Linked DNA regions of Danio rerio. The protein of the gene in region 1 binds, or shares a complex with, the protein of each later gene. Links are inferred from orthologs where the notes say so. Each region holds a gene or a part of one and is shown on either strand. Other genes may lie near its edges. The genes, in order: eif2b2, eif2b1 and eif2b3.

Region 1 (3,659 bases):
CTAATTTAATGTAACTTAATATTTAAAAATACATGTTAATATAAAATTTCATTTTAATATTATGTAGTTTTTATGTAGACTGTTGAATTATTGAATATTAAATACTTAAATGTTTACTATTTTTGCACTTTATAGTATTATATTAAATAATTATGAAAGAAAATAGCATTAATTTAATAATAATAACAATGCAATGCTGCATTTGAGTTTAATTACATTTAATATGTTATATTAAGTGTTATCAAATATTTTATATTAATATTTGAATATTATATAATTATTATAAAGTATATTGTTGTCCAATGACTGTTGTTCGCTCAGGGCTGCCTGTCGGTAACATCTAGAAGGGATACAGCTGCGGATACTTGCATCAATACAGCATAATTTCTGACACTGTGCAACAATAATACTATTTTTTGCATTGGGTTGGGGGTAGGCATTAATAAAATAAAATCCAATGAAAAATTGTAGGAATAATAATATAAATAATATTCAGTATAATTACTGATGTAACATTACTGTGTTGGTTGGATTTAGGGGTGAGTTAGGGGTAGGCGTTAATAAAATTCATTCATTCATAGTCCCTTTATTCATCAGGGGTCACAACAGTGGAATGAACCGCCAACTTATCCAACCTAGTACTGGGAAACACCCATACACTGTCACATTTAAACTTACACCCTCTGGCCAATTTAGCTTATTCAGTTCACCTGTAGCACATGTCTTTGGACTGTGGGGGAAACCGGAGCACCCAGAGGAAACCCAGGGAGAACATGCAAACTCCACACAGAAATGCCAACTGACCCAGCTGGGACTCGAGCCAGTGACTTTCTTGCTGTGAGGTGACAGTGCTAACACGAACAGTGTCACCCCTTAATAAAGTACAATTAATGGCCAATTTAATAATCATAATTCTTGTTAACTTCCGGCCACAGCTGTATCCCTTCTAGCAACAACAACCCTGCCGTTTTGCCAGTAATGTAAAAATTAACAGTGTTTTTCCAAAATGACCATGATAAACATGCACTCACTAGACAGAAAGGCGCACACTCGGCTACGATGACGTGGAACTTGCGTTTGCGCGCCGCGTCTTTCAGAAAAGCCTCCACAGTCCTGGAGCGGCCGATGGTCATGATCACCTCATTGGAGTGAATGTGCTCCAGCGCCTGCATGGAGATGTTGTCTGTGGTGCCCTCTGAAAACACAAATCACCACAATAACACTCGACATCAGCGCCACATTTACTTCAACATGGACCAACATCTCTGAGGAATATTTCCAGTACTCTATGCCACAAGGCTGTTCTGGCAAAAGAAGCTCCAACCTGGTACTAGTAAGGTGTACCTAATAAAGTGGCCGGTGAGTGTATAGTAAACTACAATGCACCATATATTACTGTAGTAAAAACTAAAGTACACTACTGTATTTCATACATTCATTCATTTTCTTGTCGGCTTAGTCCCTTTACTAATCCGGGGTCGCCACAGCGGAATGAACCGCCAACTTATTAAGCAAGTTTTTACGCAGCGAATGCTCTTCCAGTCGCAACCCATCTCTGGTAAAACTACTGCATTTATTACAGTTTATCAGTTCACTATAGGTAATACTACAGTATGCTATAGTGCTCATCAACAGAGTAAATAGTCTATTATGCACAGTATAATACACTTAGTATAGTACAAAAACACTATAGTATTTACTGTAAATCACTGCAGTGTTTTTTTTATGTGGGCTAAAACACAAAACCTCCCAAATATTAGGAGAATATATAGCCTCTCTATGGATCCTCACCCAGCTCTGTCAGCAGCTCATTGATGGCTTCGATGACGTTGGCTTTGAGGTGAGCGAAGTGCTGTCTGAAGTTGTCTTCACTGGATCCTCCAGACGTCAGCAGCTTGTGCAGAGATTCCTGTTGATCCGCCTCCTCGCTGCTGCCTCTGGACCTGAAGACAACATATCATCTCCAGCTCATCCACATGAAAAAAACAGTATGGTGATTTTTACATATTTTATTTATTAAATATTATGCAGGGTGGGCCATTTATATGTGTTGTTTTAATGAGTGGTCTAGCTGTGATTTTTGCAGATACTGCCTTAATATCTGACCTGGCATATTCTTCTCGAATGATCTTCAGCACCCTGCGGATCATGTTACCGACTGTGGTCTCAGATGGCTGAGCTGCTGTCATCCTCCTGCCCTCCTTCCGGATGATCTCCATCAGTTCACCTTAAAAGAGGAGGATCTGTCAAAAAACTTAAAACTAAATAATTAACAAGCATAAGATTTAAAAAGAACAAATAAATACATTAAAAAGACAAAAAAATTAAGTAAACTATGTAATTATATAATTATGCACTATATAAACTATATCTAAAGTGATTGTTCAAGCTTTTGTTCTCTCCAGACTGGATTACTGCAACTCTTTACTAGCGGGGCTTCCAGCTAACTCTATTAAGCCTCTTCAGCTTCTACAGAAGGCAGCAGCACGAGTGGTCTTTAATGAACCTAAAAGAGCACATGTCACTCCGCTGCTCATCCGTTTGCACTGGCTGCCAGTTGCTGATCGCATAAAATTCAAAGCGACTTCTGGCTGTGCTCCTTCTTATCTGCTCTCACTTCTGCAGATCTATGTGCCCTCCAGAAACTTGCGTTCTGTGAATGAACGTCGCCTCATGGTTCCATCCCAAAGGGGGAAGAAATCACTTTCGCGAACGCTCACGCTCAATCTGCCCAGTTGGTGGAATGAACTCCCTAACTGCATCAGAACGGCAGAGTTCACTCGCTGTCTTCAAGAAACAACTAAAAACTCAACTATTTAGTCTCCACTTCACTTCCTAATCTGCAATTGCCTCTCTGGCTCCACTGCTAACTGTACTACAAAATAATAATAATTAAAAAAAATAACTAATGTTTTGCTTCTTACACTTTACATACCTGAAACTTGCCTACAGCACTTATTCATTGCTGCTCTTAAAGTTGTGTAAAGTGCTTCCTTGTCCTCGTTTGTAAGTCGCTTTGGATAAAAACGTCTGCTAAATGTAAATGTAAATGATTCAAAAATCAAACAATGAACATCAAAATGCAAATTTAGACTAAAATAATTAGACTAATAATTAGATTTATTAAAATAATATGCAACTCTATTTGAAAGAAACACTGCAAATTAACTTGTAATAAAAAAACAATAAATAAGATGATCTTTTTACATAGAGTTATAAAAGCAGTTATACAATATAGAGTTATATTAAAAATTACAGGCGCAGTGGGTAGCGCTGTCGCCTCACAGCACGAAGGTCACTAGTTCGAGTCCCGGCTGGTTCAGTTGGCATTTCTGTGTGGAGTGACATTGTGCAGTTTGCTTGTTCTTCCCGTGTTGGCGTGGGTTTCCTCTGGGTGCTCCAGGTTTCCACCACAGTCCACAGACATGCACTATAGGTGAATTGAGTAAGCTAAATTGGCCGTCGTGTATGTCCTGGTCCTCCAGATTGGAGGTTCAGCATTGGGCTAATTGCCTCATAAAAACTACGTCACGAAACACCAATATAGTACGATATAACTTCGATATAAACGGCCCTCAGAGCAAGTATATATTAAAAATAGAGTTATATTTTATTAAAGTTATAATGACCTAAATCATGAAGATGATATTTAGATAATA
Region 2 (3,659 bases), on another chromosome or scaffold:
GTGAACCGATGCTTGATTTGGATGTGAACTAGTGTGAACCGATGCTTGATTTGGATGTGAACTAGTGTGAACCGATGCTTGATTTGGATGTGAACTAGTGTGAACCGATGCTTGATGTGGATGGGAACTAATGTGAATCGATGCTTGATTTGGATGTGAACTAATGTGAACTGATGCTTGATGTAGATGGGAACTAATGTGAACCGATGCTTGATTTGGATGTGAACTAGTGTGAACCGATGCTTGATGTGGATGGGAACTAATGTGAATCGATGCTTGATTTGGATGTGAACTAGTGTGAACCCATGCTTGATGTGGATGTGAACTAATGTGAACTGAAACTGGATAATATAGATGTGGATCAATGTGGGTGTGAGCCTATGCTTGATGTGAACTACTGTGAACTGATGCTTGATTTAGATGTGAACTAATGTGAACTAATACTTGACATAGATGTGATTGTAAACCGATGCTTGATGTGCATGTGAACCGACTCCTGATGTGGGTGTGAACTGATGCTTGATGTGGATATAAACTAATGTGAAGATATAATTGATATAGATGTGAACAGATTCTTGATGTGAATGTGAAATGATGTGAACTAGTGTGAACCGATGCTTGATGTGGATGGGAACTAATGTGAATCGATACTTTATGTAGATGGGAACTGATGCTTGATAAGGTTGTGAAATTATGTGAACTAATGTGAACCGTTTCTTGATTTAAATGTGAACTAGTGCGAACTGATGCTTGATGTAGATGGGAACTAATGTGAACCGATGCTTGATTTGGATGTGAACTAGTGTGAACCGATGCTTGATTTGGATGTGAACTAGTGTGAACCGATGCTTGATTTGGATGTGAACTAGTGTGAACCGATGCTTGATGTGGATGGGAACTAATGTGAATCGATGCTTGATTTGGATGTGAACTAATGTGAACTGATGCTTGATGTAGATGGGAACTAATGTGAACCGATGCTTGATTTGGATGTGAACTAGTGTGAACCGATGCTTGATGTGGATGGGAACTAATGTGAATCGATGCTTGATTTGGATGTGAACTAGTGTGAACCCATGCTTGATGTGGATGTGAACTAATGTGAACTGAAACTGGATAATATAGATGTGGATCAATGTGGGTGTGAGCCTATGCTTGATGTGAACTACTGTGAACTGATGCTTGATTTAGATGTGAACTAATGTGAACTAATACTTGACATAGATGTGATTGTAAACCGATGCTTGATGTGCATGTGAACCGACTCCTGATGTGGGTGTGAACTGATGCTTGATGTGGATATAAACTAATGTGAAGATATAATTGATATAGATGTGAACAGATTCTTGATGTGAATGTGAAATGATGTGAACTAGTGTGAACCGATGCTTGATGTGGATGGGAACTAATGTGAATCGATACTTTATGTAGATGGGAACTGATGCTTGATAAGGTTGTGAAATTATGTGAACTAATGTGAACCGTTTCTTGATTTAAATGTGAACTAGTGCGAACTGATGCTTGATGTAGATGGGAACTAATGTGAACCGATGCTTGATTTGGATGTGAACTAGTGTGAACCGATGCTTGATTTGGATGTGAACTAGTGTGAACCGATGCTTGATTTGGATGTGAACTAGTGTGAACCGATGCTTGATGTGGATGGGAACTAATGTGAATCGATACTTTATGTAGATGGGAACTGATGCTTGATAAGGTTGTGAAATTATGTGAACTAATGTGAACCGTTTCTTGATTTGAATGTGAACTAGTGTGAACTGATGCTTGATGTGGATGGGAACTAATGTGAACCGATGCTTGATTTGGATGTGAACTAGTGTGAACCGATGCTTGATGTGGATGGTAACTAATGTGAACCGATGCTTGATTTGGATGTGAACTAATTTGAACCGATGCTTGATTTGGATGTGAACTAATTTGAACCGAAACTTGATATGGATTTGAAACCATGTGAACCTATGCTTGATTTGGATGTGAATCGATTCTTGATGTTTACTGATGTGAACTAATGTGAACCGATACATGATATAGATATGAGAGGATGCTTGATGAGGATGTGAAACGATATGAACCGATGTTTGATGTAAACCGATGCTTGTCCTCCTGCAGGTGAAACGATTCTGGGCCTGAGAGAGAACATGACTCAGGCCATTCACAGGCTGCAGGAGGCCGATTCATCCGTCGCCGTGTCATCTGGCGGAGAACTATTCCTGCGCTTCATCAGTCTCACATCACTGGAACATCCGGTCAGTTCAGCATTTCACTCCATCTAGCAGATCTGTTCTGTTTTTATGTAGAAAAAACTGTACTTCTAACTAGCTTACAGAATTTCAGCATTGCATTTTTACTGTTCCTAAATATCACCGACATTTTTAACAATGTGCAGGATAATGTACATCCAGCCAGTTGTACACCACAGAATAAATAACTATACACCAGCTGCTGATAAACCTGTCTGGCTTTAATCTGCGAGAACATCCGGCTGGATGTACATTATCCCTTACTTCAATATGATTTACGGATCATTTCCGTGATTCCTCTTGTACTGTCTTTGTTTTCTGTTCACCAGGATCTCTCCCAGTGTAAGAATGTGATGATCGAGCGAGGTGAACTCTTCCTGAAGAAAATCTCCCTCTCCAGGGGGAAAGTGGGTAAACTGTGCCACACCTTCATCAAAGACGGCGCTGTAAGTAGTCCGCTAAAGACGAAATGGCGTGTTGCTTTAGCATTATATTGCTCAAATGTGACCTTTAAGGAAATCGTTTGTTAGCATAGAGACACGATTGTTTGAAAATCTGCATTAAGGTCTAAATATGGAGAATATCACCTTTAAAAGTTGTTTAAGTTGCATATTACTAATCAAACATTGAGTTTTGATGTATTTATGGTAGGTAATTTGATTGAAGATGATCTTTACTTAGTACTGTCATGATTTTTGGGGTAATAGAAACATCTATAATGTTGACTCATGCAATGTTTTGTTGACTTTGCCTACAAATATACTAAATTCAGCTTGAATCACAAATCTGCTTTCCATGACTTGCAGAAAATCCTGACCCACTCCTCATCTCGAGTGGTCCTGAAGGTTCTGGAGAACGCAGCGGCTGATAACAAACGCTTCACAGTGTACGTGACTGAATCACAGCCCGATTCAGCAGGGTGAGTCTTCACGCTGTTAAAATATGTATATAGCTTAAGGGGGCTAATAATATTGACCTTAAAGTGGTTTTAAAATAATTGCTTTTATTTTAGCTGAATTAAAACAGGTAAGACTTTCTCCAGAAGAAAAAATATTATAGGAAATACTGTGAAAAATTCCTGAATCTGTGAAACATCATTTGGGAAATATTTGAAAAATAAAAAAACAACTTATTAAATCTGACTTCAACTTTATATATTAAAAAAATAATAAAGTAAAAATTCTATGGTCAATATTATTAGTGTATATAGTATCTATTTTTTAAGTGTTAATGTTTTATTCATGTTTTTTCCCCCTGTTTCATCATAGTAAACTTATGGCTGAAAAACTCCGCAAGCTCAGCATCCCAGTCACAGTAGTGCTCGACGCTGCAGTCGGGTGAGTTTATTACTCTGTGTTTTACAGTAGTCAGGCACTGCTTTCATTCCTGTAAAACCTA
Region 3 (4,304 bases), on another chromosome or scaffold:
CCGACATGTCTACTATTTGGTAGAGGTTGACTTTTTTTTTTTAATTATGGAACGTGTTGAAAAAATGCATTGAGTGTTTTAACTAGAGACATTAGTAGTTAAGAAATGCTATCCAAAAATGTTTTTCTTGGTGGGGCAGTTAAAGGGTTAAACATAATAGGGTGAGCCTAAAGTTGGACATTGCCTAATGTGGGACACCTATGATATATAAAACTATTAAAAAAAAATATCTGGGTATTTTATGCAAAAGTATTTTTAAAATAAAACAAAACATGAAGGAAGAATAAATCATATTTAACTATCTTGTTATATTAATTAAAAAAAAAAGTATACCATAGTGTTTGTTATCGTCATTCATTCATTCATTCATTCATTCATTCATTCATTCATTCATTTTTTTTTGTTTATTCCCCTTATTCATCAGGGGTCGCTACAGCAGAATGAACCGCCAACTTGTCTAGCTTATGTTTTACACAGCAGGTGCCCTTCCAGCTGCAACCCATCACGGGGAAACATCCATTCACATGCATACACTACAGCCAATTTAGTTTATTCAATTCACCTATAGCGTATTTCTTTGGACTGAGGGGGAAACTGGAGCACTGGGAGGAAACCCACGCCAACACGGGGAGAACATGCCAACTCCACACAGAAATGCCAAATGACCCAGCCAGGGCTTAAACCAGTGACCTTCTTGCTGTGAAGCGACAGTGCTAATTACTTAGCCACCGTGTCTCCCAGTTTGATATAGTATAAAATGAAAAAAAGCAACAACTAAATACTTTATCATAAAATTCAATATGCCCATTCAACGCATATTTTTAATAAACCTGCTAAAATGCCCAGTAAATGAAATTTTTTTCTGGAAAATTAATACTTATGAGCATGACTAATACATTATAAATGTATTGTCTCGATTTAACACATTTATTAAAATTTCAACATGTCAAATTCTTATCAATGTTTTTGAAAACCATGAATATTAAATACAAAGAAGAGGGCTGGGCAATAATATGCTACATAATAATTTTACAAAGTTTAGACTAGGTAAACTATTTGTATAGCTGCTTTGAAACAATAATTATTATGAAAAGCTCTATATAAATAAACGTGAATTGAACTTTACAAGCAAAAATTACAAAAATGGAAAACAAATAGCCTCATTCACAATCTGAATCATCTATATAACAACAATAGAAGAATACGTATCCAGTTCATTACAAACATATACCCAAACTACATCAAATCAAGATAAATACAAGTAATAATCGAAATTATCATCGAAATCCTCAGGCTTTCTCTTTCTGCTTCACACAGAGGAACCAATTCTCTCTGCGGAACCAAAGTTAGAGTCGTGTTTTCCGTCCGACGCATTTCAAAGTAACGGTCTTATGTCATTATACAGAAATCTTGATAGTTTTTTTGCAGACAGCCAGAGATTAAACATTGTGACAGTTTTCACTTGTTATTAAACTTTTCATTTATCTAGTTAGAAACTCTCGGTTTTAACAGAACTTATTTGAAGACGGCGAGGCAAGCCTGATCCATATGAACGTCTGCTACAGTGCTGCAGCTTTCACGTGCACGGACTCGATACTTTACACATTATAAACATTTGATAATAAACACAGGTAAGTCGACTGTGTGTGTATTTCTGAACTCGTCGATAAATAGTAGCTTCAGAAGTAGTTATGTTTCATCGTGCGGCTCAGCTGACGAATGTAGATGATGAAATGAGAGTCCTGACAGGCGTAATGTCTTAAACATGACAAGGAAATACATATATTGAACATAATACTCCGTCTGTCACTTTGCTGGATTGTTTTGTTGTTAGTGTTGTTGTTGTTTGTGGACTAAACGTGTTGTTTTGTTCTGCAAGTGTTCGGGATGGAGCTACAGGCGGTGCTGATGGCAGCCGGTGGAGGCTCCAGGATGATGGATCTCACCTATAACACCCCCAAACCTCTGCTTCCTGTGGGCAACAAACCCCTCATCTGGTACCCCCTTAACCTGCTGGAGAGAGTGGGATTTGAAGGTAAACCTACTGTCTTATCAGATAACAAAGTTCATTAGAAGTGTCACCTGCTGAGTGTATGAGGTGTACAATATTCAACACCGTTATCTAGTAAACTCGGCATTTAACACACACTTTTTCATATTGTTATTTTAGATTTTGTAATTAGGGTCTGCCTATAAAGATTGTGTTGGTGGATATGACTGATATGCTCTGCATTTTTTGGTCATCTGTAATACAGTATGGGTTCAAATGGTATTCAAATATCCTCTTTAATTATTATAGAGCAGGGCGATTAATTGAAAAGTAATAGAAATCGACATTCAGAACCTATAATCGATCAAAATTTTTCTTGTCAATTTTTTTCAATTACTTTCCCTACAGTGTGTGGAGTCACGTTAGCCTACTCTGTTAAGCCTGATATATACTTTTGCATTGAACGCATGGGTATGGTCTGGAGCAGCTTTTAAGTGGACGAATACTCGCGCACCTCTCGAAAAATGTAACTACAGATCGCACATTTGCATTACATTGACGATGATTGGAAGCTGCATCAGAGAAGCCTTGAGACAGCGTATTTTCTATTACAATAAAATTATTATTCACATTAAAATATTTGTTTACAGACGATTCAAGAAATACAGTTTAAAATATTAATAACATGATATACAAAAGTTGTTACATTCTGAAGAGATTCTGCTTATTTTCTTTTTAAAACATTGAAAATAATTGATTTTGTTTTCAAAAGTGCAAGTTATTTGTTTTCACTTTTTTATAAGAAAATAGTGACTGTTCGTTTTAAGCAATGTGTGTTTTAATTTCAAATCACTTTTACTGTCACATCATCAGCAGTATGTGTGCTATGATGAGTGAAAAGCTTAGTTGAAAAAATTTCAGTTGTTCAACACTGATGTTCAGTAAATAATCATAGATAGTAAATATCTTAATCAAGTAAAGCACCGTTCATTCAAAAATCTCTCACTTGTAAAATGTGAGCATATTTACTGTACAAAACCTGTCAGTGAACTATGAGTTCAAAAAATCGAGTTAAAATGTTCAGTTAATTGAGATTGAGAGATTATTTTTATTTTTATTATTATAAAGTAGGTTTCATCTGTAATTCAATCAAACAATCACCTTACTACAATCACCAGTAAAATTAAATTACACATTAAAACACAGACAATGACGAAGAACAAAATCAAAGCAATGATGTCAATAAAACAATCATACTAATTTAAACTGCTGAACATCAAATGCTATTCTAAGTAAATGGGGTTTAAGTTTAGCTTTAAGTAGTGCTGCATTTGTGATGGTGTGTTTTTTGGTTATTTATATTTATATTTTTAGGTTATATTTATTATTGTATTTTTTTTCATGCGAATTAAGTAGGGCTGCACAATATATAGTTTCAGGATCAATATCGCAATGTGATCATTCGCATAAGTCACATCGCAAGTATGTGTAATGTTGAGTCTGGATTATAATGTAGCTTATTGCAAGTGTTTTTTGAGGCCTACGACTTTCAGAGGCTTTTAAAGGCATGAGAATATTTACCATTTGCAACTCTCAAATATTAATAATGATTAATTTTATCGAACTGTTTGTAAAATAAATACTTTGCACTATTATCTTACATTTGAATATTCAATTATTTTATACCTGATGACATTTTAACTTTTTAAAATAAAATTCAGTTTATTTAATTAGCATATTTAGATTTTTGAATTTATCTATGCTTGTAGATTGTTTCTTATATTTTATGCACTCTACTACAGAATTATCCCAATCAATCTGAAATTATAAATTCTTTCTAAACAGTTATTCTACTCATCTAGTGAAATTGTATTCATATCGCAATATATATCGTAGAATAAAAATTTTTTTGCAATGCAAAATTTTTCCAATATCGTGCAGCCCTTGAATTAAATGTATGTATGTATGTATGTATATATATATATATATATATATATATATATATATATATATATATATATATATATATATATATATATATATATATATATATAAATATATACACACACACACACACACACACACACACACAATAACCATCAATAGCCCTTTTCCAATATCGTGCAGCCCTTGAATTAAATATATATATATATATATATATATATATATATATATATATATAAATATATATATACATATATATATATATATATATATATATATATATATATATATATATATATATATATATATATATAAATATATACACACACACACACAATAACCATCTAATAATCATTTGCAGGTTATCGCT

The links.
Region 2: the proteins of eif2b2 (region 1) and eif2b1 are in contact, whole or in part, in a cryo-EM structure (PDB 7F64), measured with the Homo sapiens proteins. The link is inferred for Danio rerio from reciprocal best matches to the Homo sapiens genes EIF2B2 and EIF2B1. Residues at the interface, in NP_055054.1 of Homo sapiens: Glu107, Ser108, Leu109, His110, Leu112, Leu113, Thr114, Ser115, Asn242, Phe278, Asn280, Glu281, Glu282, Ser334, Tyr337, Arg338; in NP_001405.1 of Homo sapiens: Leu71, Arg74, Phe75, Leu78, Arg96, Leu99, Phe100, Arg103, Lys110, Thr117, Phe118, Lys120, Ser232, Phe235, Leu283, Asp287, Leu288, Val290, Thr292, Ser294, Ala295, Asp298, Glu299, Leu300, Lys302, Leu303.
Region 3: eif2b2 (region 1) and eif2b3 share a complex: the UniProt entries of both Homo sapiens proteins name them as parts of the translation initiation factor 2B (eIF2B) complex. The link is inferred for Danio rerio from reciprocal best matches to the Homo sapiens genes EIF2B2 and EIF2B3.

What each region holds. Positions count from the first base shown.
Region 1 is NC_133195.1:49,881,876-49,885,534, forward strand, and holds part of eif2b2 (translation initiation factor eIF2B subunit beta), read right to left. Parts: intron 2,228-3,659; coding exon 2,107-2,227; intron 1,944-2,106; coding exon 1,792-1,943; intron 1,196-1,791; coding exon 1,032-1,195; intron 1-1,031. UniProt on the Homo sapiens protein: Acts as a component of the translation initiation factor 2B (eIF2B) complex, which catalyzes the exchange of GDP for GTP on eukaryotic initiation factor 2 (eIF2) gamma subunit.
Region 2 is NC_133180.1:75,662,946-75,666,604, reverse strand, and holds part of eif2b1 (translation initiation factor eIF2B subunit alpha), read left to right. Parts: intron 1-2,130; coding exon 2,131-2,267; intron 2,268-2,590; coding exon 2,591-2,707; intron 2,708-3,067; coding exon 3,068-3,180; intron 3,181-3,529; coding exon 3,530-3,598; intron 3,599-3,659.
Region 3 is NC_133177.1:37,042,095-37,046,398, reverse strand, and holds the start of eif2b3 (translation initiation factor eIF2B subunit gamma), read left to right. Parts: upstream 1-1,371; 5' UTR 1,372-1,631; intron 1,632-1,879; 5' UTR 1,880-1,887; coding exon 1,888-2,035; intron 2,036-4,304. UniProt on the Homo sapiens protein: Acts as a component of the translation initiation factor 2B (eIF2B) complex, which catalyzes the exchange of GDP for GTP on the eukaryotic initiation factor 2 (eIF2) complex gamma subunit.